Linked DNA regions of Saccharomyces cerevisiae S288C. The protein of the gene in region 1 purifies or fractionates together with the protein of each later gene. This does not show direct contact. Each region holds a gene or a part of one and is shown on either strand. Other genes may lie near its edges. The genes, in order: TIF6, NOG1, YFR001W and SSF1.

The links.
Region 2: the proteins of TIF6 (region 1) and NOG1 purify together in Saccharomyces cerevisiae (affinity purification with mass spectrometry; 7 studies listed by BioGRID, with this or other methods). This does not show direct contact.
Region 3: the proteins of TIF6 (region 1) and YFR001W purify together in Saccharomyces cerevisiae (affinity purification with mass spectrometry; 6 studies listed by BioGRID, with this or other methods). This does not show direct contact.
Region 4: the proteins of TIF6 (region 1) and SSF1 purify together in Saccharomyces cerevisiae (affinity purification with western blotting; 10 studies listed by BioGRID, with this or other methods). This does not show direct contact.

Annotation. Positions count from the first base shown.
Region 1 is NC_001148.4:586,975-595,067, reverse strand, and holds TIF6 (translation initiation factor 6), read left to right. Parts: upstream 1-1,998; coding exon 1,999-2,736; downstream 2,737-8,093. Other genes in the region: RLF2 (Rlf2p), read right to left, coding at 1-592; guanine nucleotide exchange factor DSS4, read left to right, coding at 1,151-1,582; YPR015C (uncharacterized protein), read left to right, coding at 4,042-4,785; YPR014C (uncharacterized protein), read left to right, coding at 7,550-7,879. UniProt on the Saccharomyces cerevisiae protein: Binds to the 60S ribosomal subunit and prevents its association with the 40S ribosomal subunit to form the 80S initiation complex in the cytoplasm. Is also involved in ribosome biogenesis.
Region 2 is NC_001148.4:366,654-376,002, forward strand, and holds NOG1 (putative GTPase NOG1), read left to right. Parts: upstream 1-4,324; coding exon 4,325-6,268; downstream 6,269-9,349. Other genes in the region: ERI1 (Eri1p), read right to left, coding at 1-82; PNG1 (peptide-N4-(N-acetyl-beta-glucosaminyl)asparagine amidase), read left to right, coding at 274-1,365; EEB1 (medium-chain fatty acid ethyl ester synthase/esterase), read right to left, coding at 1,418-2,788; Sec63 complex subunit SEC62, read right to left, coding at 3,186-4,010; SSU1 (Ssu1p), read left to right, coding at 7,140-8,516; glutathione-disulfide reductase GLR1, read left to right, coding at 8,849-9,349. UniProt on the Saccharomyces cerevisiae protein: Involved in the biogenesis of the 60S ribosomal subunit.
Region 3 is NC_001138.5:142,394-150,224, forward strand, and holds YFR001W (Loc1p), read left to right. Parts: upstream 1-6,716; coding exon 6,717-7,331; downstream 7,332-7,831. Other genes in the region: ATP-dependent RNA helicase SPB4, read right to left, coding at 2,721-4,541; pseudouridine synthase DEG1, read left to right, coding at 4,738-6,066; linker nucleoporin NIC96, read left to right, coding at 7,623-7,831. UniProt on the Saccharomyces cerevisiae protein: Required for efficient assembly and nuclear export of the 60S ribosomal subunit. Involved in asymmetric localization of ASH1 mRNA.
Region 4 is NC_001140.6:227,487-234,706, forward strand, and holds SSF1 (rRNA-binding ribosome biosynthesis protein), read left to right. Parts: upstream 1-1,848; coding exon 1,849-3,210; downstream 3,211-7,220. Other genes in the region: RNA-dependent ATPase RRP3, read right to left, coding at 46-1,551; hydroxyacyl-thioester dehydratase HTD2, read left to right, coding at 3,484-4,326; DYS1 (deoxyhypusine synthase), read left to right, coding at 4,647-5,810; exosome non-catalytic core subunit RRP4, read right to left, coding at 6,093-7,172. UniProt on the Saccharomyces cerevisiae protein: Required for biogenesis of the 60S ribosomal subunit.

The DNA.
Region 1 (8,093 bases):
TGGCTTCTTCCTTTCTACGCTTTTCCTCTTCCTTTTGCTTTTTCAGCTCAGCACGCCTTTGTCTTTCCTCTTCTACCTTTAGCTCTTTTTTCTTTTTCTCTTCTTGTCGTAATAACTCTTTTCTGTGTTTCTCTTCTGCACGTTGCTGCTTTTTTAGTTCCTTTTCTCTTTTAGCTTCTTCCTTTTTCGATGAGGAAAGTTCTCTCTTAGAGCATGGAGAAGAGCTTCTGCTTTTTGTCTCGATAGCTATTATATTTCCATTGGGTACTTGTTTGTTGGTGTTTCTATCGTATTTTGTACTTTGTATGGGTGAATTTTTGTAGCATAAAAGCTTGTCTTCAGCATTGGCCTTCTTAGGTGTCGTTTTCATTTCATCTGCACACTCTTTATTGATGCTTTTCATGGTTTCTTGTTTAACAGTTTCTATCATAGGTCCACTGACATCCTCTTTAGGATCATCTAGAGTGATGACATCCTTCTCTTTCGTGAGAAACTTATTACTCTTTACCGTAGTTGTATTCTGGAAAAAAGATAGTATGCCTTTTTTCTTAGTGTCGTCCTGTAGAGGAATTGATTTGAGATGTTGCTCCATTTTCCCTTTTCCTTTCGATTCTCTTCTGTCTTGAGGTTCACTAAAACATATAATTCTCTGTAACAGCAATAACAGAATGTTCTTCTCCTCAACGAATTGGCTGGAAAAATGATGTATTTCAAGAAGTGGAACCAATAAGAATTTTATTTTTTAGTCAGTTCGCAAACCTTTTGGTTTAACGATGTAGATCTTTCTTTTTTTCAGTTGAAGCCTTTCACGCGTCCGAACGCGTGAGCATATATGCAAGCCGTCTGACACTATAGATCGCGCCAGGTAGGGAACCACTTGATCCAGCACGATGAGCCCGACAACTCAAAACTCCCTTCTTCTGTATCAAAATACTTTTCAGCATATCCATATCATTCTTCCTTTCTCTTCGTAAAGGCTGACTGGGCGCCGGGGACCCGCTAGTTTAGTAGTACTGTGAATATCGTCATTGTCGTACTGAACGATTATATATCGATCATTTTAATTAATGAAGTACATATCAAAAACTTGACTGGTATGAGTAGAAAGTTCAATTAAAAGGGCTGGAAAAATGGGGGAATAACAGAGAACATGAGCAAGGCTACGTGTTCCTTTGAGGGCTGTCATAGTGCAGTTATTACCATCAACGATGATAACATAATAAACTTACCAGAGCAGGTGCACAGCGAATTCAAGTTGCTGGAAAACAGAACTATGCGAGATGCTACCCCCAGCGAGAGCAACTTCTTGGTCGTCCCTGATGTTTGGGACTTTGATAATGTTGGTGTATCTAGAGAAATTCCTTCTTCTATATTAGGGGATTTGAGTGATAAGAGTGATTTTGTCTTTGAGTATGGTAATTCCAGCTGGAAGATTAAAAAGTGCTTGAAATATTTGATATGCGCTGATTGTGATAAAGGTCCTATTGGAATAATATGTAAGGTGCAAGATCAGACAAAGAATGAAGAAAGAGTTTTGCATCTACTAAGCTTGCGAAGCCTTCAAATTATGGGAAGGAATTAGTTTGGTAGGCACTAGAACAAAAATAGGTTGCCGCCACCAGAAAAAAAAAAGAGTAACCAACCACCTATTTCACTGGCATGGGCCACCTATAACAAGCTATAGAAGTAGTTCTGGTTTACATTACTAGCATCACTTTATGTAATAATATAGGCATTCTGGACGAAATCCTAATGGATGAGCATTACCCGTTTTTTCCGAGGGCCAAACGAAAATTTTCGGAAAATTTTTATTAATTAAAGATTTAAACCCATATTCCTTTGTGCAGATTTTTTCTTTTACTGTATGTAACGCAATATTCAATATTGCATAATTAAAAGAAGCCTCATCCCTCGTTGGTCTTATAGTATAATTACAAGAAGCAATACGACAGAGTATTTGGAACAAGAGCATAATTCAACTAACTCTAGAAAACAATAATGGCTACCAGGACTCAATTTGAAAACTCCAATGAAATCGGTGTATTCTCCAAATTAACGAATACTTACTGTTTGGTTGCTGTTGGTGGTTCTGAAAACTTTTACTCTGCATTTGAAGCTGAATTAGGAGATGCTATTCCCATCGTTCATACCACTATTGCTGGTACGCGTATCATCGGTAGAATGACCGCGGGTAACCGTAGAGGTCTGCTAGTTCCAACCCAAACTACTGATCAAGAATTACAACATTTAAGAAATAGTTTGCCGGATTCCGTTAAGATTCAAAGGGTAGAGGAAAGACTATCTGCCTTGGGTAACGTCATCTGTTGTAATGATTACGTTGCTTTAGTGCATCCAGATATCGACAGAGAAACTGAAGAATTGATAAGTGATGTACTAGGCGTTGAGGTCTTCCGTCAAACCATATCAGGTAATATCTTAGTTGGGTCATATTGTTCTTTAAGTAATCAAGGTGGGTTAGTGCATCCACAAACAAGTGTCCAAGATCAAGAAGAATTGTCCTCCTTATTACAAGTTCCTTTGGTGGCTGGTACCGTTAACCGTGGTAGTTCAGTTGTCGGTGCCGGTATGGTTGTGAACGATTACTTGGCAGTTACAGGTCTGGATACTACAGCCCCAGAATTGAGTGTTATTGAAAGTATTTTCCGCTTGCAAGATGCCCAACCAGAATCCATTTCAGGTAACCTACGTGATACTTTGATTGAAACCTACTCATAGATGTCAGGTACTCCTGAGGGGATTCCCCTCCTTCCTCAAGTCTGTTTACAGTTGTATGCGAAAGAGTCCCCATGTTGCAATAATCTTCTTACGTATCATTTGTGGTATTTTTTTTGGTATAACAAATATTTTTTCTTAGGTTTCTATGCATTTTAATTTTAGTTGTATGTATATTATGTACTCTTTTATTTTTTTTTTTTTTCTTATACCTATGGGTGACTATTCATTGCAGTTTAAGTAGGCGTCTTAATTGTAACATGTAGTCACTTTGTTCGAAGCATATGTAACGGGTTTCTAAGCAAATTCTTTGCATAATATGGATTTTCCGTCCGCTTCTCCGACTATTCTGACAACTTGCTCAGTTCCAAGTATCTGTTAGACAATATAGAACTTCTCCAAGAAAAATTGCACCGCACGTAGACCATTTGAAGGCTTTTTTGTCTAGCTGCTAGGACATACTATTGTCTCCACCAGAACCCGGAGAGTAGTATCTCTTGGCAAAGATTAATAAAATCGAACAAAGCTAATAGAACACCGGGGGTTGTGCGGTAAGATTTTCACAAGCGGTACAGAAGTGAGCCGTAAAATTATATATATATATATATATATATGGTGTACAACAAGTCAGCCGTCCATTTATGTGCTATCAAGCGAACTACGTTTCATCTCTTCAACTTGGTAGTTCTTGAGATATAAACACCCTGATCCATCGTACTCACTGAAATAGCAACAACTCCCTGAGTTCCATTGCCACGCATACCCACTCTCATATCCAGAAACAGCTAGTATTTCGATGTTTTTCCGCTCGAAGAAACTTCCGTAGTATTGTTGAGGTGTTGGGGGCATCGTTCCTTTTCGTACGCCAAAAATTCTTCCTCTATTGTTTCCAGAAAATCGTTGCAAAAAAATAAGTCCGCCACGCTGTTTTCTGTGACAACTCTATCTGGAGCCTTCACTAATGGTTTAAAAGGCACGATTTCCACAGAAAGTTTCGCAGCACTTGTTTGTACAAGGAGCGTAAAGCACCGGAAATCTTTTCCCACTGAAACCCTAAATATGAACGGCATTTGGTTGCCATGAGATACAGTCCCAAGAATTCTTTATATTATATAAGCGCTAGTTGTTGTCGCTCTTTTGACCTCATTGGTAGATATTTCAAATTACAAAATTATAATTGTTTTCTTGGTCCAACTTTTTTCTTCTTTTTGGAGGGCATTGCAAGGATCCAATACGATAAGCAAACGTCTTCATTGACCCGTTTCTAACTTTTAATATACATAAATTTTCATCTTCAACACTAATTAAATGTGGAGAACAAAAACGCTAGAATCTATGCTTTGTAGCCCAATGAAATGTTCATCGTCTAACATAGGGGGATCCTATGCGCAATCTTCAAAGGAAGTCTCGAACACGACCAAAAGGGAAGTGCATCTTCCACCTTGTTCGTCGATTATGCACGCTCCACTTACTCCTGAAATAAACCAGGCCGCACTACCACCTCCCGCTTACCATTACGCACCTTCTTCTCTGCATCAGACAGAGGATCCCGTATGGAGATCAAGTCCCAACTCTATTATCTTTTCGCCGGTTATAGCAACACCGCAACCTTTCCCTTTAACGTTCGTTGAACGTCAATCTTGTTGCCCTATTTATTCAACGGCAGCTTCCTCTTATACTGCCCAATCTGTACCTCCATCAATGCAGCATTTTCAGGAGGAAAACCACAGAGCGGTGAGCAACGAGCAGTACTCCCTCCCGAATGTGCATATAGGGCAAAATCCTGGGACGCTATTATCCCAAACACAAACCGACTTAGATCTTATACAAAAGCAACTGCGCGCTGTGGTAAAGCTACGGAAACAATGTCCTATCTGTGGGAAGGTTTGTTCGAGACCTTCAACACTGAGGACTCATTACTTAATACATACGGGAGACACACCTTTCAAATGTACTTGGGAGCATTGCAACAAATCTTTCAATGTCAAGAGTAACATGTTAAGGCATTTAAGAACCCATCAAAAGAAAATAGCAAAGAAAAAACATCAGTGAAAGCATTGTTTAGAATATTTTGTTTTCAGTGTGATTTTGATGTAGGTGTGACACTTTTTACCAAGTAAAATGAGTATAGATATGTATTAGTTCCATATAATATATTACATGTAGCCAACAATCAATTTTTACTGACTTCCGATTTTTGAATAGTGAGAGGATTTTTGTTCGAATTATAATTTCTACAAGAAATTTGTTTGCGAATGCATCAGCATTTGTAATACGGTTCTATACTGCCGCACGATACATTTTATTCTGTCTAGTTCGTAAGACAAAGGACCTTTTCATTTAGTACAACGTTGCCGACACGGATGTCTTGATGAATCTCTGTACCAGGAATTCAATTACCTGACTAGTATGCAGTTCACTATCAAAAAAAAAAAAAAGGTTAAATTGGTATAATCATGGTTAAAGAACAAACAGCCTCTTTCCTCTACAAAAGTATGTTAAATGTAGGTAGTTCAAATTGCGGTCACGTATATGCCAACGTTGTTAATATATAATGATCCATTGGAACAATGAAGTTTACAGAAGCTCAAAATTAATGCAAGAATAATTACGTCAAGGGAGTCATAACAAACTAAGAAAACAAAGGAATTTGACTAAGTTTGAGCGCAATGATATATCCATGCTTGATATTCTGATTCATACATATCGTTTCTGTCATTTCAATGGAAGTCTTTATTTATCAATTACCACAACCTTTAGTATTGTGCTTATTATTGGTCAAAAGGAGTTCATGCGCTAGTGATAGTCAACCCATGAAGTGATTAGTGGAACATAGAAGGGGATAAATTTCCTATCGGATAACAAAGAAAAACCAGGATTATTGTTTTACCACCACATTTTCAAACTTTCCCGCTGAATTTCCTACTACCCTCATTTGAAAGAACGCTTTCCACTCTTTAGGTTGGCGTTGTATCATCTTTTCTTCCATTCAATGCACCAAGACTTAATTTTGTTGGTTAAACTCTTATTCTTTGTCAGTTTAACCAACAAAATTACCTACGGTAATTAGTGAAAGGCCAAAATCTAATGTTACAATATGATTCAATCATTCTTATTGCGGAGAAGCTACCGAGAAGAACCCTACCACTGGTACAACACAAGGGAACGGTCTCATTGACCTCGTGCATAACCGGGAAGGTAACACATGAATATGCTGTGTTTGAATCATCTCCAATCCAAACTATAGGAATGAAAAATTTTTTTTGGGTACAATGTCTTCTCACAATATCGTATTCTTGGTCAGCAATGTTTCCAAGGATGACAGACTCTTTCTAAGAAAAGATTTCAAGTTCAAAATTTACATAACAGTGAACTATGCAGAAAATTTTACTTCTAGACCACGCATTTAACAATAATGTTTGCCCGCAACAATAAAGTATTTGGTCGCTTTAAGACGTTATCAGTTATTTTATGAGAAGGTGTTTACCATTCGTGCTCCCATACTAAAACCAAGGGGTAAATAGGACCCACATTTCGTTTCTGACAGCCAACAACGTGCCACTAGCAGGACAGTTATTGGAGGTTTATATTATGTAATTATTGTTAGCTGATAAATGATTTACAGAAAGCGCTGATGTTCACTGGGCTGCTTATTCAGCAATCCCCACGCATATTTACTTCAAAGAGAAAGAATTTTTGATGTAAGTTTTATTTGAACGTGGAACTTTGGCGTGGGGCATTTATGGCTGCTATCACACAAATCGCGGAGCAGAGTACCCCTGGATTATATAACACAACTCACTAAAATCGCTCAAAATTGGGGGGTACGGGTTAGCGCGGCAGCTCATCGAGGGAACAGCACCTAGTGCACGTTTAATTGATAGTATCTTCAGAACGAAATCAAATTTTTCGCAGTATCATTTACGTTTCAAGAAACTTAAAGTGTTTGGAGAAATTAGGAACGAAAAAAAGCTACTATAGAAATTGTAGCCTGTCTTCAACTGCTGTCCTCGGCTTTTGACTTGCCTAAGTATATGCCGCAATGGGCGATAAGCGGGAGTGTCGGTCAGATCTGTGGTAAAAAAAAGATAGCAATAAAAAATTATGAATTTAAACAGTAGTCTTGAATTTAAACAAGTGATCTTGACTTGAATACTTCCATCAATGAGTCGCTAAAATGAAAATGGCTGCACAATCTCCTCCGCATATCTTAAAAGGCAGCAATTAGCCAGTTGATCACCCTACATTTCCACAGAAACGAAAAAGTGTAATAGTTATTTTTGCGGCCAATATCGTAAGCTCTAGCGGTGCCTTAGCTTTATGATTGTTGCAAGAAAGTTTGCCTTTTTGACTCTCCTTCAGGTGTCAGTATTAACAAACGGCGTTGAATGTTTAAGTTATTATTTTATTCATCAAATCGACTTGGATACTTTCTCGGTGATGTCGCTAATTGGATTATACCATTAAGGTTGTCACCAGTGTAAAAATTTTGCATCGGTACTTGCAACTACGTGTGAAGGTCAAGTTACTCAACGCAAAGAAACGTTAACATTTTTACAAATTTTAGCTGCAGTACTATGTTTTAAGTAATCCAAAGGGAACTATTTGTTATATCCCAGAATTATTTACATTCGTTTCTTAGTTTCATAAACAATGAATACCTATTGAATGGATAGAAATTCTGACTTGATTTTACGAGTTATTATTGCTGACATTAGTCCAAAGACATCTCAGTTTTGTTTCCTCTACAACCCAATGAGGAGGCTAGCCAGGGCTGTCGCCCAAAAAAATAGCCAATAAAGCGGCAACTTTCTGTATGTCTTGCATTTTTTCCGCTGACTTGGGAGTAGAGTACAGCTGCGCGGAGTCGCGTATTACAAATCTTGTACTTTGCATTCTGTGCATACGTGAGGAAAAAGCAGCACCTGTTGTGAAAAAAGATAAATTTCTTTTTTTCATTTTTCTATCCTCAAAGGAAAATCTTTTCTGCGAAATTTCTAGCCGCTCTTCAGTTTCCGAAGTAAAGTCGCTGAGGGCGAAAAACAACTTTATTTGCCCACACGCTGTTATAGGCTTCCAGGGAGCAAAAGCGCAATTGGGAATAAGGTTTCCTCAATTGAATGGTTTGCTTCGCCTACAGCATTAACCAGAAGGTAATTTGATCTCTTGTATGTCCGCTAACAGATCTTGTCCATTAATTGTTTATTTTCTTCAGGTAGGCTGAGCCCACTTTGTAGTAGCTCCCTACCATTACTTTTGGCCTTGTAGTTATTGGCTTTGATTTTTTCTTTCTATGACAATCCCGTTGAGCAACCTTGCGAAGGGCTCTTTTTGAAAAAAAGGCGTGGGCAAGATCTCTG
Region 2 (9,349 bases), 220 kb from region 1:
ACCAGTAAAATGTAGCAAGACTAATTAGGAGTACCGAGTAAGTAAACCCTAAAACCAAAAAGCCTTGGTCACGTGGTCTCATGCGCTTATAAATTCTCAATCATGTAATTGAAACAGTCCTGTTGCCTAGTTTCAACTGTTCTATGCTTCTTGATGTTTTCGAAACTTTGCGTAGTGTAATCTTCCTTGTATTGTAGCGAAGAAAAAAGGATGCGTTGGGAACAGATATAGAAGACGTAAAACAACCTGAAGAAGGTAACAGGTGGAGTAGCAATGGGAGAGGTATACGAAAAAAATAACATAGATTTTGATTCAATAGCCAAAATGTTGTTAATTAAGTATAAGGATTTCATACTGTCTAAATTCAAGAAAGCTGCACCTGTAGAGAATATAAGGTTTCAGAATTTAGTCCATACAAATCAATTCGCACAAGGAGTCCTAGGTCAGAGTCAACATCTCTGTACAGTCTATGACAATCCTTCATGGCATTCTATAGTCCTGGAGACATTGGATCTGGATCTAATATATAAAAATGTTGATAAGGAATTTGCCAAAGATGGGCATGCAGAGGGGGAAAATATATACACGGATTATCTAGTAAAGGAGCTGCTTCGCTACTTCAAACAAGATTTTTTCAAATGGTGCAATAAACCAGATTGTAATCATTGTGGCCAGAACACTTCAGAAAATATGACACCTCTGGGCAGTCAAGGGCCCAATGGAGAGGAATCTAAATTCAATTGCGGAACTGTTGAGATCTATAAATGCAACCGATGCGGAAATATCACTAGATTTCCTCGTTATAACGATCCAATTAAGTTGCTGGAAACTAGAAAGGGAAGATGCGGTGAATGGTGCAATTTATTTACTTTGATTTTGAAGTCGTTTGGGTTAGATGTTCGCTACGTCTGGAATAGAGAAGATCATGTTTGGTGTGAATATTTTTCAAATTTTTTGAATAGGTGGGTTCATGTCGACTCCTGTGAGCAATCATTCGACCAACCATATATCTATTCAATTAACTGGAACAAGAAAATGAGTTACTGTATTGCGTTCGGTAAAGATGGCGTTGTTGACGTTAGTAAACGCTATATCCTCCAAAACGAGCTGCCCAGAGATCAAATCAAGGAAGAAGATTTAAAATTCCTTTGTCAATTTATAACGAAGAGGTTGAGGTATTCGTTAAATGATGACGAGATATACCAACTTGCATGTCGCGATGAGCAGGAACAGATAGAGCTGATTAGAGGAAAGACACAAGAAACGAAATCCGAAAGCGTCAGTGCCGCTTCGAAATCATCTAATCGTGGTAGAGAAAGTGGATCGGCGGATTGGAAAGCACAGCGTGGGGAGGATGGTAAATAGAGAAATAAAAGAACAGATTATTATGTGTAAGGAATTTTATCTAAGAACATATTTATAAAACTAACTCATCAAAGCTGCCCAAGAACTCGGCAGCTTGCTTTGTTAACCAGGAATTACTTTCATTGTCGAGATAAGCCAAATGTCCACCCAAGTCAGTCTCGCATAACAACACACAAGGATTTTCTCTAGCTTGTTTGTACGGAATTACGTTTTCACCTGTAACTGGATCATCCGTTGCGTTGATTATTAAAGTTGGGATTTTGATATTAGGCAATCTATTTATCGAACTGGCCTTTCTATAATATGTTAACCCGTCCGGCAGGCCCATCGATGGGGCAGTGAAAAGATTATCGAATTCTAATATGTCTGTAAATTTTTCAGCCTTTTCCAAATTTTCTCTGGTATACGTATAAAAGACTGGTTTCTCAACTGTCGGTTTGTGCGAAACCTCAAAATTCTCTGGTACCTGCAACTCATTCATATTAACCTTGACAGTCCTTGTTAGAAATTGTGTTAAAGTTCTAGAAAAAATATGGTTGGACCACCAATCATGAGCCAACTTGTCCCAAGTGTGTACGAAATCCCATGGGTTTGAGAGAGCGACTGCAGCATTTAATGGACAGTTATCTCCTTCTTCACCTAAGTAGTTCGTTAGCATGGCTGCTCCAAATGATGTTCCGACTGCATATATTTTTCTTTGCGGAAATAGAGCTTTTTGGTGGTTCAAAAATTCTCTCACATCACCTGTGTGTAATGCGGTAAAGATTCTACGGGTGGTGACTTTAGATCTTGAGCAACCTCTAGCATTAAGGACTACCACTTGGAATTTACCGTCACCGACTTTTGATAGATCTTCAGATAATGCCCTGATGAGAGGCTCATGGCTTCCCCCTGCAAGACCATGAAGTACTACCACTAAAGGGTAAGAATAACCCTTAGAATGACATTTTTCAAGTTCCTCAGAGGATAGATATCTAGTTCTCGGGTGAAGACGAGGCCAACCCTTTGGATGGGTGGCCTTTTCATCGTTCGAAAATTGTTTCTCGTTAAAACTAGCCTTTTCAGCATTTAATGAATATGTTTGCTCCCATTCAGGCATAACCCAATCTGCAGTGCAGACCCCTCCATCAGAAAATTTTATAATCTCTCTTCCATAAAATACCTGAAATTTTTTGGAAAAATCACCGGCTGACAAATAAAGGGTCTGTAAGTAACCTGTGAAAAGCAAGCTGTTTAACCTAAAATTTGCACCATCTTTGAGTGTAGGCACGTGTTTGGTTACGAATTCATGAAGAGGAATTTGGCGCTTAGAATCTCTGAAAGCCAAAGACTTGGTTCCTTTCTCTCCCAGTACATGTTTGACGGTGCCGTTATAGCCCCAATGGCTAGGAGTGACAGTTGGATAGTAACCCGAGCGAAACATTAAAATGACAAATATGAAAATACTTGATATCTTGATCTTTTTGCTAATCTTCAAAAATACCGAAAACTAAGTAGGCAACCAGATGCAGAACCCTTCTTATATAATCGATTCCTGTAAGCAAGTGTCAGCAAATAGCTTCTATATAGAGACCTTTCGGTGAAAGTATATTAAAGCCGGCCGGAAATTGAGTAATAATAACCGCTAATTATGCGGTGTGTGGATTCAGATTTTTGCCAGGAGCGATAACCTTCAAATCTAAAACTACTCACTATAAGCGATGAAGCAACCAGATGGTAGCGCTTTGGTGCCGGTTCTCTTGAAGGTTTGTACATGTGCGAGTTCATGAGGTTACAATATAGAAGGTTTATACAGTAGAGCTATACAGGATAATGGAAGTTCAGTTTTGTTCGGCTTTTTCATTGATGGCTTTCTTCTTATTGCTTTCTCTCTTGGCTTGTTTCTTCTTCATTCTTTTCAGTTTCTTTTTGTAACTATAAGTATCCTTCTCACCAAAACCGTAAAGTGGCTTAAAACTCTCTAGTACACCGCAATCTTCGAACAGGTTGGGAAAGATCCAGAACCCACCAACATCTTTGTAGACAATTAATGACAAAACATATAATATCAATCTCAGGATAGCGACAGCAAAGAAGCCTGCTAAGATGCCGAAGGCACCCAGAGACACATAATAGGAGCCGCGTCTCATGGAGCGCGGCCACAATGGGTAGCATACGAGCGCCAATATGATGGACACGACACCAATGACGATCAAGTAATCCATGTAGGTTCTAGGGTTATAGTTCCAAACAAAGTATTCATCGGCTTCCAATTGTGCTTTATTCGAAACAATCAAGTGCGGAAAGTCCTTGCTTGGCTTCAATCCATGCTCTTTGCATTCTTGACTATGCAATTTTTTCACTGGGATCACCATTTGTGCCTTTATAAGTTGAATAAAGATTTCACGTGACTTAAGCTGGTCTTCGATCTTGTTAGAAGGTATAGTTGGATATATCTCTGGCTGTCTTGCAGATTTGTTGGCATACTCCTCAGAATGCAGTGCCCTAACAAATCTCTTGTAACGGAAGAAGTCTGTCTGCTTGGCCTGGAATAAACCCTGCCTTTGCTTCAACTCCTTATGGTTGCGTAAAAGAGTAGCAATGGCTGTAGCAGATCCGCCATTGACACTAGCACCTGCATTGCTACCTGGACCTACGGCTGACATGTTCTCCTGTGTTTGCTCGGCTACCATACTGCATTCAACTGCAATTATAAAAGCCCACTCTTCTCCCTCTTGATTTGTATGCCAGTATTGGGAAAACGACACGTCTATTCCGTCGCACACGATCTTCACTTTCTTTTTTTTTTTCAACTGAACGAAAAGTTTTTTCCGCAGCTCATCGCAAAGAAAAATTTTCACCTATGTACTACCTCATCTAATACAATATAAAGAATACACTTCAGATTTAGGAGTTGCAGCGTTTATAAAAAAGTAAGTGTACCCTCCAAAAGCAAACACATCTCCCTCCTATACCGAAGATGCAACTTTCATGGAAGGATATCCCTACTGTCGCTCCAGCAAATGATTTGCTGGATATTGTCTTGAACAGAACCCAGAGAAAGACACCAACTGTGATCAGACCTGGTTTCAAGATTACAAGAATCAGAGCGTTCTATATGCGTAAAGTTAAATACACAGGTGAAGGTTTCGTGGAAAAATTTGAGGACATTTTAAAGGGTTTTCCTAACATCAATGACGTGCATCCTTTCCATAGAGATTTGATGGACACCCTATACGAAAAGAATCATTACAAGATATCTTTGGCAGCTATATCTCGTGCGAAGTCCCTTGTGGAACAAGTCGCCAGAGATTATGTCAGATTGCTAAAATTCGGTCAATCTTTATTTCAATGTAAACAATTGAAAAGGGCCGCTTTAGGTAGAATGGCAACTATAGTCAAGAAATTGAGGGACCCATTGGCCTATTTGGAACAAGTCAGACAGCACATTGGTAGATTACCATCGATCGACCCAAATACCAGAACCTTGCTGATCTGTGGTTATCCAAATGTCGGTAAGTCCTCGTTTTTGAGATGCATTACCAAATCAGACGTCGATGTTCAACCATATGCTTTCACAACCAAGAGTTTATACGTTGGTCATTTTGACTACAAATACTTGAGATTTCAAGCTATTGACACCCCTGGTATCCTAGATAGACCCACTGAAGAAATGAACAACATTGAAATGCAATCGATTTATGCCATTGCCCATTTACGTTCTTGTGTTTTGTACTTCATGGATCTTTCCGAACAATGTGGTTTCACCATCGAAGCTCAAGTTAAACTATTCCACTCCATCAAGCCTCTATTCGCCAACAAGTCTGTCATGGTTGTTATCAACAAAACCGACATTATCAGACCGGAGGATTTAGACGAAGAGCGTGCACAATTACTGGAATCTGTTAAGGAGGTTCCAGGTGTTGAAATCATGACTTCTTCATGCCAACTGGAAGAAAACGTTATGGAAGTTAGAAACAAAGCATGTGAAAAACTATTGGCTTCTAGAATTGAGAATAAGTTGAAATCTCAGTCTAGAATCAACAATGTTCTGAACAAGATTCATGTTGCTCAACCTCAAGCAAGAGATGATGTCAAGAGAACACCATTTATCCCAGAATCTGTCAAGAATTTGAAGAAATACGACCCTGAAGATCCAAACAGGAGAAAGTTGGCCAGAGACATCGAAGCTGAAAATGGTGGTGCTGGTGTCTTCAATGTTAACTTGAAGGACAAGTACCTATTAGAAGATGATGAGTGGAAGAATGACATCATGCCAGAAATCTTGGATGGTAAGAATGTTTATGATTTCTTGGACCCTGAAATCGCTGCTAAACTGCAGGCTCTTGAAGAAGAAGAAGAAAAATTGGAGAACGAAGGGTTCTACAATTCTGACGATGAGGAAGAAATCTACGACGGTTTCGAAGCATCCGAAGTAGATGATATCAAGGAGAAAGCTGCATGGATTAGAAATAGACAAAAGACGATGATTGCTGAAGCAAGAAATAGGAAGTCCTTGAAGAACAAAGCTATCATGCCACGTTCTAAACTAACTAAGTCCTTTGGTAAAATGGAAGAACACATGTCCACTTTGGGCCATGACATGTCAGCCTTACAAGATAAACAGAACCGTGCTGCTCGTAAGAACCGTTATGTTGAAAGAGGTTCTGATGTTGTTTTTGGCGACCAAGATGCTTTGACAGCTTCCACTGAAAACGGTGTCAAGTTGAGACAAACCGATAGACTGTTGGATGGTGTTGCTGATGGCTCCATGAGATCCAAGGCCGACAGGATGGCCAAGATGGAAAGAAGAGAAAGAAATAGACATGCCAAGCAAGGTGAATCTGATAGACACAATGCTGTTTCCTTATCAAAGCATTTATTCAGTGGTAAGCGTGGTGTCGGTAAGACAGATTTCCGTTGATTTCTCTACTTCTTATTCTTTCTTTTGCATGTACTTTAAAAAAAATATGAATATAAAATGTGGATGTACGTACACGACATTCTAATCTTTTTGGGCTGGTAGGATTACCATTTACATTTGATTATCTCTCTCACTATTAGTGGTTTCTTTTTCTTTCTTTCTCACTTTTTCTGTATCTTTTTTTTAAAAAAATTTTATTTAATCTGTATAATAATAATAAACCGATTTAAATTATCCAACAAGCCGACCCCTCCATGTTCTACTATTTTTTTGTATGTCACTGGATGTATACAAATAATTAAGCATGTGGAAAAAGAAGGGGTGGGATAGCGTCAAGATGACACTTCTACTTTTTTGTGACACATCATCATGCAACCTATCGAGTCTCCCACGAGGTTGACAAATAAGAAATTGTTATCGTTTTTGCAGTGTATCGTATAAGGCAACAATAGCGATGTCTCCCATCAATTGACTGATAAATTCCTGCAAACTATCATTTTTTTTTTTTCATCCTTGTGCCGCGTCTGTAGCCGAAAATCTGAGAGTGCATGAATCTTAAAAAACAGAAGACTCATCGCCGTCTTTGGCACATTGGGGTTGTCTTTGACTTCTTTTGCTTATTTTTGCTCACTTTGCTTATTTTACCTATTTAACTAGAGGTTCTAAAAGAATAGCCAACCAGCGTGTAGTTCTTATTTCTAATCCTTGTCTTGTTAAGTTGAAACTTGTGATATTGGCTGAACAAATTCTCCGCATTTAGACAACACACAAATTACAGCTTTCCCCTAGTAACGATTGTTGATTGAGCTCAGACAATACGCGCAATTTAAAAACGTTTTATAGTGTAAGAGAAGACAAGTACAAGAAAAAAATGGTTGCCAATTGGGTACTTGCTCTTACGAGGCAGTTTGACCCCTTCATGTTTATGATGGTCATGGGTGTCGGCATTTCATCGAATATTCTATATAGCTTCCCATATCCTGCAAGGTGGCTAAGAATATGCTCCTACATCATGTTTGCTATCGCTTGCCTTATTTTCATTGCTGTGCAGGCACTACAAATATTACATTTGATTGTCTATATTAAGGAGAAAAGCTTCAGAGAATATTTTAATGACTTTTTCAGAAATATGAAGCACAATTTATTTTGGGGTACTTATCCCATGGGGTTAGTTACAATTATAAATTTCTTAGGAGCACTCTCGAAAGCGAACACGACGAAGAGCCCCACTAATGCCAGAAATTTGATGATATTTGTTTACGTCTTGTGGTGGTATGATCTCGCAGTCTGTCTAGTAATAGCGTGGGGTATCTCGTTTCTCATCTGGCATGACTATTACCCTTTGGAAGGGATTGGGAATTATCCTTCATATAATATCAAAATGGCATCCGAAAACATGAAAAGTGTATTGCTACTGGATATCATTCCGCTGGTTGTCGTCGCTTCAAGTTGTGGAACATTCACAATGTCAGAAATATTCTTCCATGCGTTTAATAGAAACATTCAACTGATAACGTTGGTCATATGTGCCTTAACGTGGCTGCATGCCATTATCTTCGTCTTCATACTGATTGCGATATACTTCTGGAGTCTTTATATTAATAAGATACCACCAATGACACAGGTTTTCACCTTATTCCTGCTTTTGGGCCCGATGGGCCAAGGAAGTTTTGGAGTCTTATTGCTTACAGATAATATAAAAAAATATGCGGGCAAATATTACCCAACAGATAACATTACAAGAGAACAAGAGATATTGACTATTGCAGTTCCATGGTGTTTCAAAATTCTAGGCATGGTTTCTGCTATGGCATTGCTCGCTATGGGCTATTTTTTCACCGTGATTTCTGTCGTTTCAATCCTGTCGTACTACAATAAAAAAGAGATTGAAAACGAGACAGGAAAAGTGAAGAGAGTTTATACCTTCCACAAAGGTTTTTGGGGGATGACTTTCCCGATGGGTACTATGTCTTTAGGAAACGAAGAGTTATATGTGCAGTATAACCAGTACGTTCCCTTATATGCATTTAGAGTCCTAGGAACCATATACGGCGGTGTTTGCGTTTGTTGGTCAATTCTATGCCTTTTATGCACATTGCATGAGTATTCTAAAAAGATGCTGCATGCTGCCCGTAAATCTTCATTATTTTCAGAGTCAGGTACGGAAAAGACGACAGTTTCTCCGTATAACAGCATTGAAAGCGTGGAAGAATCAAACTCGGCTCTAGATTTTACGCGTTTAGCATAAAATTGTTGGTTTTATACGTACATAATTGGCAAGCATTTCATGTAGGAGTCTCAATAGATAGTTTAATTCATTTGCACGGCGCTTTGCTGCTTTTGCTTCTTCACGTTGGTTTTCACTATGCCTGATATTTTTTGACGTCACTTAGTAAGCACGACCCTTGTCAATTTTTCGAGGATTTCGGAGCTTTCCATTTGGAATCTACTATTAAAATCAGTCTAAAAAAGTATAAGAAACACTTCTGGTTTTTCTCATGCGCTTCTCACTCTCAGTATATTTTGCTGCTTTCCTTCATATGTATATATATCTATTTACATATTAGTTTACAGAACTTTATGCTTTCTGCAACCAAACAAACATTTAGAAGTCTACAGATAAGAACTATGTCCACGAACACCAAGCATTACGATTACCTCGTCATCGGGGGTGGCTCAGGGGGTGTTGCTTCCGCAAGAAGAGCTGCATCTTATGGTGCGAAGACATTACTAGTTGAAGCTAAGGCTCTTGGTGGTACCTGTGTTAACGTGGGTTGTGTTCCGAAGAAAGTCATGTGGTATGCTTCTGACCTCGCTACTAGAGTATCCCATGCAAATGAATATGGATTATATCAGAATCTTCCATTAGATAAAGAGCATTTGACTTTTAATTGGCCAGAATTTAAGCAGAAAAGGGATGCTTATGTCCATAGGTTGAACGGTATATACCAGAAGAATTTAGAAAAAGAAAAAGTGGATGTTGTATTTGGATGGGCTAGATTCAATAAGGACGGTAATGTTGAAGTTCAGAAAAGGGATAATACTACTGAAGTTTACTCCGCTAACCATATTTTAGTTGCG
Region 3 (7,831 bases), on another chromosome or scaffold:
ATGGTTTGAAACAAAGTGGTGCAAACTGGTATGAAACCATTAAATCATATTTAATAAATTGTTGCGACATGCAAGAAGTTCGCGGATGGTCATGCGTATTTAAGAATAGTCAAGTAACAATTTGCTTATTCGTTGATGATATGATATTATTCAGCAAAGACTTAAATGCAAATAAGAAAATCATAACAACACTCAAGAAACAATACGATACAAAGATAATAAATCTGGGTGAAAGTGATAACGAAATTCAGTACGACATACTTGGATTAGAGATCAAATATCAAAGAAGCAAGTACATGAAATTAGGTATGGAAAAATCCTTGACAGAAAAATTACCCAAACTAAACGTACCTTTGAACCCAAAAGGAAAGAAACTTAGAGCTCCAGGTCAACCAGGTCATTATATAGACCAGGATGAACTAGAAATAGATGAAGATGAATACAAAGAGAAAGTACATGAAATGCAAAAGTTGATTGGTCTAGCTTCATATGTTGGATATAAATTTAGATTTGACTTACTATACTACATCAACACACTTGCTCAACATATACTATTCCCCTCTAGGCAAGTTTTAGACATGACATATGAGTTAATACAATTCATGTGGGACACTAGAGATAAACAATTAATATGGCACAAAAACAAACCTACCAAGCCAGATAATAAACTAGTCGCAATAAGCGATGCTTCATATGGTAACCAACCATATTACAAGTCACAAATTGGTAACATTTTCCTACTCAACGGAAAAGTGATTGGAGGAAAGTCGACAAAGGCTTCGTTAACATGCACTTCAACTACAGAAGCAGAAATACACGCAGTCAGTGAAGCTATTCCGCTATTGAATAACCTCAGTCACCTTGTGCAAGAACTTAACAAGAAACCAATTATTAAAGGCTTACTTACTGATAGTAGATCAACGATCAGTATAATTAAGTCTACAAATGAAGAGAAATTTAGAAACAGATTTTTTGGCACAAAGGCAATGAGACTTAGAGATGAAGTATCAGGTAATAATTTATACGTATACTACATCGAGACCAAGAAGAACATTGCTGATGTGATGACAAAACCTCTTCCGATAAAAACATTTAAACTATTAACTAACAAATGGATTCATTAGATCTATTACATTATGGGTGGTATGTTGGAATAAAAATCAACTATCATCTACTAACTAGTATTTACGTTACTAGTATATTATCATATACGGTGTTAGAAGATGACGCAAATGATGAGAAATAGTCATCTAAATTAGTGGAAGCTGAAACGCAAGGATTGATAATGTAATAGGATCAATGAATATTAACATATAAAATGATGATAATAATATTTATAGAATTGTGTAGAATTGCAGATTCCCTTTTATGGATTCCTAAATCCTCGAGGAGAACTTCTAGTATATCTACATACCTAATATTATTGCCTTATCAAAAATGGAATCCCAACAATTACATCAAAATCCACATTCTCTACAGTATACATATTATTATAGCCTTAATCAACAATGGAATCCCAACAATTATCTCAAAATTCACCAATATCTCAGAGACTATATCTGAAACAAACAAAGACGTATAGTCCAAAGCAATATTCAAGGAAACTACAAAGTGAGATTAGCTACGTAGAAATAGGAGAAAAAGTATAAATTTAAAGTTAAATTCAGATCTCAAATTCTCTTAATATTTGAAATAAATCCGCTGCGTGACAAATCCCGTGATGATCTCGGAATATTTATATGTTACCATTTATACTTATGGTAGAATTATACTCACTAATGAATGTACGGTTACTATTTGGAACAAGTGGTCATCAATTGCCATAGTAACATTTTGAATGCTTGCATCGTGCATGAATACATACCGCATATATGTTTAAGTATGAATATACCTGTTAAAGAAAGTAATGAATCTGTATTGAAGAACCGTAGGTTTGACATGATCTGGTCGTTATATATACGCGTAATATGACTAGTCAAACTAAATGTATGACAAGTTCCAGAACTACTATTACATTGATCATAAGTAATAATACACAAATCAGCGTGTGTTTTATACTTCTCTTATATAGTATAAGAAGATCCATATTTAATCTTCATTAACACTACTTCTTAACCTCTAATTACCAACGGGTCAATGTTAGGATAATTGTTGGCATTCCATTGTTATTAAAGGGAATCAAAGTATATTAAAAATTCTTCCCAAGGATGTAATAACCTAAAAAAGGAAGCCCATATTTCTATATAATGTTATTAATATTTTCTTTTTCATATTATTGTCGCCACTCTTTATTCCATTACATTATCAAGTCTTGCATTTCGGCTTCCATTAAATTTGATGATTATTTCTCAGTCTTTGTGCCATCTACTCACACTCAATTTTAATATAGTGTTAATATGAATACTAATCAATGAGCGATCATTGGTTCCATTACAATAACGTTGTGATCGGAACTTATTTTGAAGTTATTCCTGTCGACTGCCTGATGTCAGTATTGAGGCTGTTTGATTATTTCTGAACATAATATCCTTTTCCTGTTACAAGTACATGCTGAACAAGAGATATATATTATGCTTTAAGATGGAGTATAATGGTTTTAGAATATTTTAAATTAAGTATGCATACACAAATAATCTACTTACTCACTATGATGCTACAAGATCATCCATTGGTTAAGAATGTTGAGTGATTCTACGAACAAGGTAACTTTTTTTCCATAATTATAAGTCGTCAAAATTGCCTTGGATAGCTTTGCTGGAAACTTTCTTCCGTTTATTCTGTAAAACGATTTCTTTCCAATCCTCTTTAATACGCTCTTCTTCAGCATTTTCATCGAGCTCTTCTGCTTTCAATTCTTCCTCTATAGCCTTCCTTTTTAAACTCATCTTTTCCTTTCTCTCGAGTTTCCGTTCTTTCGTCAATGTTTTATCTGACCACGCTAAATTCTTCTTCTTCAACTCACTTTTCAGCTTCTTTTTATCATTAATCAGGCTTATATTTTTTAATGTTTCTTGTCTCTCCTTTTCACGTTTTTTGTCCTTGTATTTATATTCATCCATATTAACTGGGGGATCGACCAACCAATTCCCTGGGAAAATCCCTTCTTGTTTTTCGGTGGCTAAGTACTTTGTTATCTCAGGCATTCTAGGCAGGCGGAAAAGACCATACAATTTCGCAATACCAACATAATCTAAAGATTGAAGCCTAAAAATTGAAGTTGCGGAATGATTTGAGTAGTATTTAATAAAGGCAACATATGCTTTAACACCTTTATCAAATCTATCCCTATCTTCTAGTATCCAATTTCTAAAGTCCTCGTAAAAGTTTGTTGTTATGCCCTTTACTTCCAAATCAAGTTCTTCAAGTTCCACATTTTTAACTTGCATGAAAGGAATAAAATCCTCTTCTCTGCCTTCATTAAGAAACGTAATTGCTTTACCCACTCTATTTGCTCTACCAGTTCTACCACATCTATGCATGAACATATCAGTATTGGTAGGGGGATCAAGCTGGATGACGAGATCAACGTCGGGTATGTCAATACCTCTAGCAGCCACATCTGTTGTGAATAAAACAGAATTACTTAGCGAATCAGTAAAAGCTGTTAGAGTTTTTGTCCTTGCCGATGTTTGAAGTTTTCCATGCAAGGAAAATATTTCTACTTCATTCACGAGAATATTCCTCTTTCCCAAATACTGGATAAATGAGTAGAAGTAGGAGACTGACACACATGTTGGAAAATATACAATACATTTCTTGAATTTGTAGTTATTCAAAATGCTAACCAAAAGTTGTAGTTTTTCGGCAGGATTTACGACACAGTAATTTAATTTCAAAGAGGAGGGCGCCTGGTTCTTAGAGTTAACGGTAATCCTGACAGGATTTCTAAGCCCTGTCTTAAAGATATCTGATCCGGCGCTACGCATAGTTGCAGAAAATAGACCCGTCCTTCTTTGTTTAGGCAATAGCCTCAGAATTTTTTCGGTATCCTTAATAAAACTCATATCCAACAATCTGTCTGCTTCATCCATAACTACCATACTGCATGCTGACGTCTTTACTGCTGGCATTTGTAAAAAGTCCAAAACTCTACCAGGTGTTCCAATCAGAATCTGCGGTCTATTCCGCAGAAAATTACTTACATCATCTCTAACTGTGGCTTCATTAGTACCAACCAGGAGCTGACATTTAATAGGGAACAAGTCGGAAGGATAATGTTCCAGAAATGATAGAACGACAGACTCAATTTGGCGTGACAATTCTCTTGTTGGAGCAATAATTAACGAGTGGAAGTGTGCTTTCTTGAATTTTGATGTATTCGCTTCTTCCTTTACAACTTTTTCTAGTACAGGTATAACAAACGCAGCGGTCTTACCTGAGCCTGTTACAGAATCAACTACTACATCCTTGTTGCCAGCAAGCATGGGAATTGTCGATGCTTGGACTGGAGTCATGGTCTCAAAACCCATAACATCGAGTCCTGTCCTTATCCAGGGAAGTAAAGAAAACCCGAGATTATCCCATTCCAATGACTTTGACATTGTTTTTATTGCTGCTGAGCTTTTAATATTATCTTACTACACCTCAAATCAATGGGCTCAGCTCATCTTGAAAAGCTCACTTTGTTTTTCAGTGAAAAATTTTTGAAAGCGAAAAGCCGGCTCAAAATAAAGAATAATATAGTATTCTCGAGGTGCCCACATGCAATCTTTACTGCCCTACTATAACCTCCCTTGAATGAGTAATTTCATTAGAAGGCTAGTTGGGAAAATGAAAGCGATTTCAACAGGTACCAATGCTATTGTTAGTAAGAAGGACTCCATTTACGCAAACTGGTCCAAAGAGCAGCTAATACGAAGGATCACTGAACTAGAAAACGCAAATAAGCCACATTCTGAAAAATTCCAGCACATCGAGGATAACAAAAAGCGCAAAATTTCGCAAGAAGAGGTTACGAGAAGCAAGGCGAAAAAGGCTCCGAAGAAGTTTGACTTTTCTAAACATAATACCAGGTTCATCGCCTTGAGATTTGCCTATTTGGGATGGAATTACAATGGCTTAGCTGTTCAGAAGGAATACACACCGTTGCCTACAGTAGAGGGTACCATTTTGGAGGCCATGAATAAGTGTAAACTTGTTCCCTCGATGGTTTTACAAGACTATAAATTTAGCAGATGTGGCAGAACAGACAAGGGAGTTAGCGCCATGAACCAAGTTATATCGTTAGAAGTCCGTTCCAATTTAACAGATGAGGAACAGCGGGATCCGACCAACGACAGCAGGGAAATACCCTATGTTCACGTTTTAAATCAATTACTACCCGACGATATTCGTATATCAGCTGTCTGCCTCAGACCGCCACCTAACTTTGACGCAAGATTCAGCTGTGTTCACCGGCACTATAAGTACATCTTTAATGGAAAAAACCTTAATATTGAAAAAATGTCTAAAGCCGCATCATATTTTGTTGGAGAGAGAGACTTCAGGAATTTTTGTAAGCTTGATGGCTCAAAACAAATTACCAATTTTAAACGAACAATAATAAGCTCAAAAATTCTTCCCCTTTCTGAAACTTTCTATTGTTTTGATCTCGTTGGTTCAGCATTCCTATGGCACCAAGTTCGTTGCATGATGGCCATTCTTTTCTTAGTTGGTCAATCACTTGAAGTGCCGGAAATTGTCTTGCGTCTGACTGATATTGAGAAAACCCCTCAAAGGCCTGTTTACGAAATGGCAAATGATATACCATTATTGTTATATGATTGTAAATTTCCTGAAATGGATTGGCAAGAACCTACTGTAGATGACTATAAGGCAATAAAATTCACGACAGCTACTGAAGCATTGACGTTACACTACGAACTTAAGGCCGCAGTATGCAATATTTTTAAAGATGTTTTGCCCACAGCAAATACAAACAACTTCTCAAAGACAATTATTAATTTGGGCGATGGAAGAGGTAAAGTAGTCGGTACCTATGTGAAACTAGAGGATAGAAGCGTTATGGAACCTGTCGAAGTTGTTAATGCTAAATACTCCAAGAAAAAGAACAACAAAAATAAGTAAAATAATATATAAACCTGTATAATATAACCTTGAAGACTATATTTCTTTTCATCACGTGCTATAAAAATAATTATAATTTAAATTTTTTAATATAAATATATAAATTAAAAATAGAAAGTAAAAAAAGAAATTAAAGAAAAAATAGTTTTTGTTTTCCGAAGATGTAAAATAGGTTGAAAGTTAGAAATTAGTATTATAATAGCAAAAAAAATTTAAAGTTAGAAATTAGAATTTAAGGCTCTACACACGTTTACGATGATATTGGACGACCGACACGAAAAGACAGTTTTAGGCTTTCTTTTGTCTTGCTCTTGCGTTGAAAGTACGTAATTTCCATTCGATTACTTACTCAACACTTGATATAGAGACCAACTATAAAATAAACTGTTTGGGAAGGAAAGCAGAACTCTTGTAATTACCTCATCTCATTATCAAGAAGCAAAATTTTAACTATGTATTTTGACCTTATTTTTGTACTCCACTTTTTTTTTTTAGTTTTTTTTAGTTATTTTTTAATTTTGAAGTAACGGCGATGAGGTGAAGTTTTTTTTAAACTGAAAAAGAAGATCGAATGCAAACCATAAATTAGAGATCTAATTGAGGTAAAATTATAAGGTTAGATATCTGTAAATCTATACAATTAAGGAAAGATGGCACCAAAGAAACCTTCTAAGAGACAAAATCTGAGAAGAGAAGTCGCACCAGAGGTGTTTCAAGATTCACAAGCTAGGAATCAACTAGCGAATGTTCCTCATCTTACCGAAAAATCTGCCCAGCGTAAGCCTTCTAAAACCAAGGTTAAAAAAGAACAGTCTTTGGCTAGACTTTATGGTGCGAAGAAGGACAAGAAGGGGAAATATTCTGAGAAAGACTTGAATATTCCAACACTCAATAGAGCTATCGTTCCGGGTGTTAAAATAAGGAGGGGAAAGAAAGGTAAGAAATTCATTGCTGATAACGACACTCTGACTTTAAACCGTTTAATAACAACTATTGGTGACAAGTACGACGATATAGCTGAGAGTAAGCTTGAAAAGGCTAGAAGATTAGAAGAGATACGAGAATTGAAAAGAAAGGAAATTGAAAGAAAGGAAGCGCTTAAACAAGATAAACTAGAAGAAAAAAAAGACGAGATTAAAAAGAAGTCTTCTGTCGCAAGGACTATACGTAGAAAGAATAAACGTGATATGTTGAAAAGTGAAGCAAAAGCTAGTGAAAGTAAAACTGAAGGAAGGAAGGTAAAAAAAGTCTCATTTGCTCAATAGTTTGATTGACTAAACTAAATACGGATAAGTCTGTTGTATAATATATAACATCCTGAAGGCAAAGTCTTTGTAAAGATTGTGCTTTATAGAACGGTCAATATCGTCATGGCTGATGCTACTCTGTTCATCACTTCTCTTCTTTATCGAAGACCGGGTAATAATAAATATCCGAATTTTTTTCAAATTTTGAAAACTCACTCACGTCTTCCTAGAAGATTTCAAATGCATTAATTCATCAAAATTCAAAACTTAACAACACTTGTGAAGAAAAGTCACAAAGAAGTAAACGATATGCTGGAGACGTTGCGCGGAAATAAGCTGCATTCTGGCACCTCAAAAGGCGCCAACAAAAAGTTGAATGAACTCTTGGAATCGTCCGACAATCTACCATCAGCATCCTCTGAATTAGGTTCAATTCAAGTAAGCATTAATGAATTGAGAAGACGTGTTTTTCAATTGAGAAGCAAGAACAAAGCTAGCAAGGACTATACTAAAGCCCA
Region 4 (7,220 bases), on another chromosome or scaffold:
AAATTGAACTTTTGGGCGTTAAAAGGTAAACCATGCTTACAAAGCCTACCTTTCTCCCATGTCCATATTCTCTCTTGTCATCATTCTTCCTCTTCTTCCCTTACCTCTGGCAATCTTCTCCTTGTTTCTTCTGTTCATTTCCATTACAACTTCCCCATTAGCCTTATCGACGGAATCTCTTAGGGTCAATATAATGTTCTTGTCCACACTTTCCTTCGGTAGTTTTTTACCTAAAACTTCTTCAATTCTTAAGATCAATTCCAGATCGTATTGTGATACTAGTGAGATAGATTTTCCTGATCTACCAGCTCTTGCGGTTCTTCCCACACGATGAATGTAGGACTTGGAATCCACAGGAATATCGTAGTTTACAACTATGTCCACTGATGGAATATCCAACCCTCTCGCAGCGACATCTGTAGCCACGAGAATAGACCTCTTACCTGCCTTGAAAAGATCCAAAGATCCCATTCTCTGGTTTTGATTCAAATCACCATGTAGCGCAGTGGCACTAAACTCGAGCAAATTACATAATCCTGACAACCTTTCCGCGTTGGCCTTGGTTCTTGTAAAAATGATCATCGTCTTTCCAATAAATTCATTTAATAAATAAATTAGGTATGTGTTCTTAAGACCACCTGGAACGACCATCAGTGTTTGCACTAATGTATCTACGGTTTGGTATTTGTTTGACACGGCACATTTCACAGGATTTGTCAAACTTGCTCTTTGTAATTTATCAATTTTGGAAGTCATAGTAGCGGAAAAAAGATAAGTGGTTCTTTCTTGGGTTGGGATGATCTTTAAAATTCTATCAAGAACAGGTCCAAATTCCATGTCTAATAATCTATCAGCTTCATCCATAACCAAGAATTTCAGTTTCCTCAGTGAAAACCCTTTGGTATTCTCTAAATGGTCCATTAATCTACCAGGTGTAGCAATGATAATATGTGGCTTTCTCATCAGGTCTCTGGCCTGGTCCATCATATTCATACCACCCACAATACATGTCGATCTCACGCCCATTAAGGATCCTAATGAGTCAAATGTTTCTTTGATCTGTTGTGCTAATTCTCTTGTTGGAGCTAGAATGCACGCATAGTATGGTTCCTGATCATGCCATAACCGATTCAAAATGGGAATAGCAAATGCAGCAGTTTTACCAGAACCTGTTTGCGCAAGTCCAATTATATCGTGACCTTCTAACGCGGGAGGAATTGCCTTAGATTGAATGGGAGTGGGTTTGGAATAATTTAAGTTCTTACAAGCTTGAATTAATTCGGGGACCAGATTCAGTTCGCTAAAGGATTCAAAAGATTCATCTTCATTAGTATTTTCATTTTGGGTTGATACTGTGGATTTGCTTTTTGATTTCAAAACCTTTTTCTTTTCAGCAGTAGCATCTTCTTCAGAATCGGACTCTGAACCACCTTCCTTTTCTGCTTCTATAAGCTTCTTTTGATTTTCCAAAGCTTTTGCTCTAATCTTTTCTGCTAAAGAAGTTAATTCATCGTTAGCCTTCTTTTCCTTTCTCTTAACAATTTTGGACATTTTTATAGCTGATTCAGTGAAGTACTTAACAGAATCTTGGTATATATTGCTTCTAAGATATGTCACAATTCTGTGTATACCATGTACAATTGCTAAATGCTCATTGATTAATTTTAAATTTTTCATTTTTATCGCCTTAGACGAAATTGAAATTTTTCACTGAAAAAAAAAAAAAAAAAAAAGTAGACGAAGAAGCTCATCTCATCGCGATATTAGTTCGATATCTGGGTTTGAGTGAGTAGTATGTTTAATAATAAAAGAGTATAATCCAGATATAGCAGACAATAAAATTTCAAGATGGCCAAGAGAAGACAAAAGAAAAGAACACATGCACAGCTTACACCTGAGCAGGAACAAGGTATACCTAAGTCAATGGTAATCAGAGTGGGTCAAACTTCTTTGGCCAACCATTCTCTGAACCAATTAGTAAAGGACTTCCGCCAAATCATGCAACCACATACGGCTATAAAATTGAAAGAGCGCAAGTCCAATAAACTGAAGGATTTCGTTGTTATGTGTGGCCCATTAGGTGTTACGCATCTTTTTATGTTCACTCAATCTGAAAAAACAGGAAATGTCTCCCTAAAGATAGCTAGAACTCCGCAAGGTCCTACTGTTACTTTTCAAGTATTGGACTATTCTCTGGGTAGAGATATCAAAAAATTTTTGAAGAGACCTAAATCGTTGAATAATGATGATGTATTAAATCCTCCATTGCTAGTGCTAAACGGGTTTTCCACATCCAAAAGATCTGGTGAAGACGACCAGGATGTAAACGTGGAGAAGGTCATTGTTTCTATGTTTCAGAATATTTTCCCACCTCTGAATCCTGCGAGAACTTCTTTGAATTCTATCAAACGTGTATTTATGATCAATAAAGACAGGGAAACAGGGGAAATTTCTATGCGCCACTATTTTATTGACATTCGAGAAGTAGAGATCTCTAGAAACCTAAAAAGGCTTTATAAAGCCAAAAATAATCTAAGTAAAACAGTGCCGAATTTGCATCGAAAAGAAGATATTTCTTCTTTGATATTAGATCACGACTTAGGCGCCTATACATCAGAATCTGAAATTGAAGATGACGCTATCGTGAGAGTAGTTGATAATCAGGACGTGAAGGCAAAGCATTCTCAAAGTTTGAAGTCCCAAAGAACACCGGTCGAAAAGAAGGATAATAAAGAGCGTGAAAAAGAAACAGAAGAAGAAGATGTGGAAATGGAGGAACCTAAGCCTTCAGAAAACTTGCAACCAACCCCACGTAAGAAAGCTATCAAACTAACTGAATTAGGACCAAGATTAACTTTAAAACTGGTCAAGATAGAAGAAGGTATTTGTTCAGGTAAAGTGTTACATCATGAATTTGTTCAAAAATCAAGCGAAGAAATCAAAGCTTTAGAAAAGAGACACGCTGCAAAAATGAGGCTGAAGGAACAAAGAAAGAAGGAACAAGAAGAAAACATTGCTAAAAAGAAGGCTGTTAAAGACGCTAAAAAGCAACGTAAATTGGAAAGAAGAAAAGCTAGAGCAGCAGAAGGAGGTGAAGGTCAAGGAAAAGATGATGCGATGAGCGATGATGAGTCTTCATCAAGTGACAGCGAACATTATGGTAGCGTACCAGAGGATCTAGATAGTGACTTATTTAGTGAGGTCGAATAAATTGTTCTCCGGTACCAAGAAAATTTTAGTTAAGCCTGGCTATCCACCAACGCACGTATACTTCTTCACTTTAGATAAATTGCATACTTGATACATATAAACTCTTTGTCTTTTAAATCATAGCCCAAAGGAAACGTAGATCTCAGAAGGCATGTGAAAAAAAATTCGATCTTACCTTTTTTACGCCATTTTAAGCTACTGTTTCGATACATGAGCGTGGCTGGTACATTGAAGGTGGGCAATCGTCCACTTATCTAAAGACAGCTTATCAGCATGAAATCCAAAACGTGGATTTTCAGGGATGTCTTATCTAGTCACCGAACCAAAGCGTTTGATAGTTTACTTTGTAGGAGACTCCCTGTATCAAAGGCAACGAAGCATCTTCAACTGGGAGAACATTTCCTGTTCTTCCCACCATCATTCGAAAAATTGGATAGAGATGGTTATTTTAACTATCAAAATCCTGCAAGTTTGCTAGGAAACCCTGATTTACGCTACCGTAGAAGGATTTGGGGACAAGGAGAGCTTGTTCAGTATTTACCAGTCACCTTAGACCAGGAGTATACATGCCACGAATCAATCAAATACGTAAAAAAAATACGAGATGAACATGTTGTCTGTATTGAAAGAACCCTTTTACAAGAAAGGCCCGAAAATGTGTCGAGTCCAATGGACATTTGCTTATTCGAGAGAAGGGTATTAATGTACACCAATTCACCCGCAAACAAGACTGCAGTCAAGATGCCCGTAGGAGAGGAGAACTATAAGATCTTAAAAAATTTTACTGTTACTGATATGGATATTGTAGCTTATGGTCAGATGTCTTTGAATCCGCACCGAATTCATTGGGACAAAGAGTACAGTCGCTATGTTGAAGGCTACGACGATATTATCATGCAAGGACCCTTCTCGGTCCAATTACTACAGAAATGCATCCAACCTTTTCTCGAACAACCAATCAGACAGTTGCGATACCGCAATTTGAATTATATATATCCAAACACTACTTTGAGCATATGTCAGTCTTTAAGCTCTTCGAGCGGAATGTACACATTTCAAATTAGGGACCTCCAGAAAGCCAACTTAGTCTACATGAAAGCTGATGTTTTCTGTTGACTACCAGTAATTGTCTCTCTGCAGATAATCACTACCTGTGTGTTTCTTGTCTCTTGAAATAATACTAGTAGCTGCTGAACAGTGGAAGGTCACGAACGAGATTACCATAATATCTCGCCATCACCAGGTTGACGGTAAACGCATTACGGGAAGAACTGAAAAAAAGGTGGGAAAAAAAAATAAAAAGTAAAGTGAAAAATTAAATGTAATGTATATTTCCATTTTGACGCAAAGTACTTCCCTCTATCAGTTTTGTATCTAACTGCAGAGTAAAGTCGTGTTTTGCTTAGTTAACTTATATACAAGTCAAAGCAAAAAAGATGTCCGATATCAACGAAAAACTCCCAGAGTTACTACAAGACGCTGTCTTGAAAGCATCTGTTCCTATTCCAGATGACTTCGTTAAGGTTCAAGGTATTGATTACTCAAAGCCTGAAGCCACTAATATGAGAGCAACTGATTTAATTGAAGCTATGAAGACCATGGGTTTCCAAGCTAGTTCTGTTGGTACTGCCTGTGAGATTATTGATAGTATGAGATCATGGAGAGGTAAGCATATTGACGAATTGGATGACCATGAAAAGAAAGGTTGCTTCGATGAGGAAGGGTACCAAAAGACTACTATCTTCATGGGTTATACTTCTAACTTGATCAGTTCCGGTGTACGTGAAACTTTACGTTATTTGGTGCAACACAAAATGGTTGATGCTGTCGTTACTTCTGCTGGTGGTGTGGAAGAAGATTTGATCAAATGTCTTGCTCCAACTTACTTGGGTGAATTTGCTTTGAAAGGTAAATCTTTGCGTGACCAAGGTATGAATCGTATTGGTAACTTGCTTGTTCCAAATGATAACTACTGTAAGTTTGAAGAATGGATTGTCCCAATTTTGGATAAGATGTTGGAAGAACAAGATGAATACGTAAAGAAACATGGCGCTGACTGTTTAGAGGCTAACCAAGACGTGGATTCACCAATCTGGACCCCATCTAAGATGATAGATCGTTTTGGTAAGGAAATCAACGACGAATCCTCCGTATTGTACTGGGCCCACAAGAATAAAATTCCAATCTTTTGTCCATCTTTGACTGATGGTTCAATCGGTGACATGTTGTTTTTCCATACTTTTAAAGCATCTCCAAAACAACTAAGAGTTGACATTGTAGGAGATATCCGCAAAATCAATTCAATGTCCATGGCCGCTTACAGAGCCGGTATGATCATCTTGGGTGGTGGTTTGATCAAGCACCACATTGCCAATGCTTGTTTGATGAGAAATGGTGCTGATTATGCCGTTTACATTAACACTGGTCAAGAATACGATGGTTCTGATGCAGGTGCAAGACCTGACGAAGCTGTGTCTTGGGGTAAGATCAAGGCTGAAGCCAAATCCGTCAAACTTTTTGCTGATGTCACCACTGTTCTTCCATTGATTGTTGCTGCTACCTTTGCCAGTGGTAAACCAATCAAAAAAGTTAAGAATTGATGAGAGAATTTTGAGATGAAAAAAAAAAAAATGAATCTGTACTATTTCTTTTTTTAGTGCAAAAGTTTTGTTTTAATATAGAGATAAATAAAAAAATGAACATATTACTATAATATCAACAAAATATGATGTAATGTCTGCAATAAAGATGAGTCAATTGCATTTCTATACGTACTAATCGTGTGTACATAGCCATGACATTATGTAAGTTTATACACATAAATTGCGTTGGAGTCTGCTGTGTAGTTTATAAATGTGTAAACAGCGGCTTTTGTATTCCTATTAGTTGCCGTTACCTCTCATTTTTTCGGCGGTAAGAATGTCACTGCCTATGGATTCCATTACATTTTTCTCAATCAGTTCACCTACGTTTGAATAAACCATACTAGCTTCGTAAGCACTTACTATACGTTGTTGAGTAATGCCTATTTCACAGAACGCTAACGCTTTGATCACGTTCGCATACCGGCAAATTGCTTGTCGTATGTTGTTCGATATGGAAGGATCGTTTTCATCCGAATATATTTGCCATGAAGACTCTTCTTCCAGTCTTGTTATGGAGGGATTTAATGATACCGCACCAGTGGGTCCAGTTGATTTAATTGAGGAACTGTTATTTGCAGACGGCGTATCCCTCGCTAAGTCCATCTGAGATGTTTTCCTTAACCATATGTAACCATTGACTCCGAGAACTACGGTTATGTTGCCGGGCAAATTATGAGTATGGTTCTTGGCTCTCACTATTAATGAACTCGGGACTTGGCAAAACATCCCGTTTCTTAACTTCCCGTACTTTAGAGACCTTGTATGTAAAGAGGCACTACCATCTTGAAATAATGATTGAACTTCTGCATTCAGGAGGTCACCTTCCTTAAGGAAGCTTCTCATTTGTAGTTCATCACTTTCAGATTTTCTTCTTAGAATACCACCCGGTAAATTCACAGAGCCCAACATAAGTACTGCATGTTGCTTACCGCCAATGTCTACTTTCCATCTCTTGTTACCCACTTCAGCAATTCTCCCTACGACGTGATCACCAGTTTCTGGGGCATAACGACCTTTCAATGGAATTACCGATAGCAGCCTATTGACACGGGATACAGTACCAGCAACAGAGGAATACGTCATATTATCAAGAAAATACGTACCGTGACCTCTCATCCAGATAGGGTCATCAGTGACCAGCTCACCTGGCGTCACAATTTGAGAATCAGACTCACTTTTAGAAGCTGAGTTAACATCGTGCATGTAGATATCTTCTTCATCATTTTCATCATCTGATATCCCTGTGTTGTTATAGGACAGGTTAGATGAATTTTGGAAGGCACCGTTCCGCTTGGTAATTGTGATAACTTCGGACATATCTGTTTACGCTTGTGTGACTACGCAAAGATTTAGAATGCAAGCAGT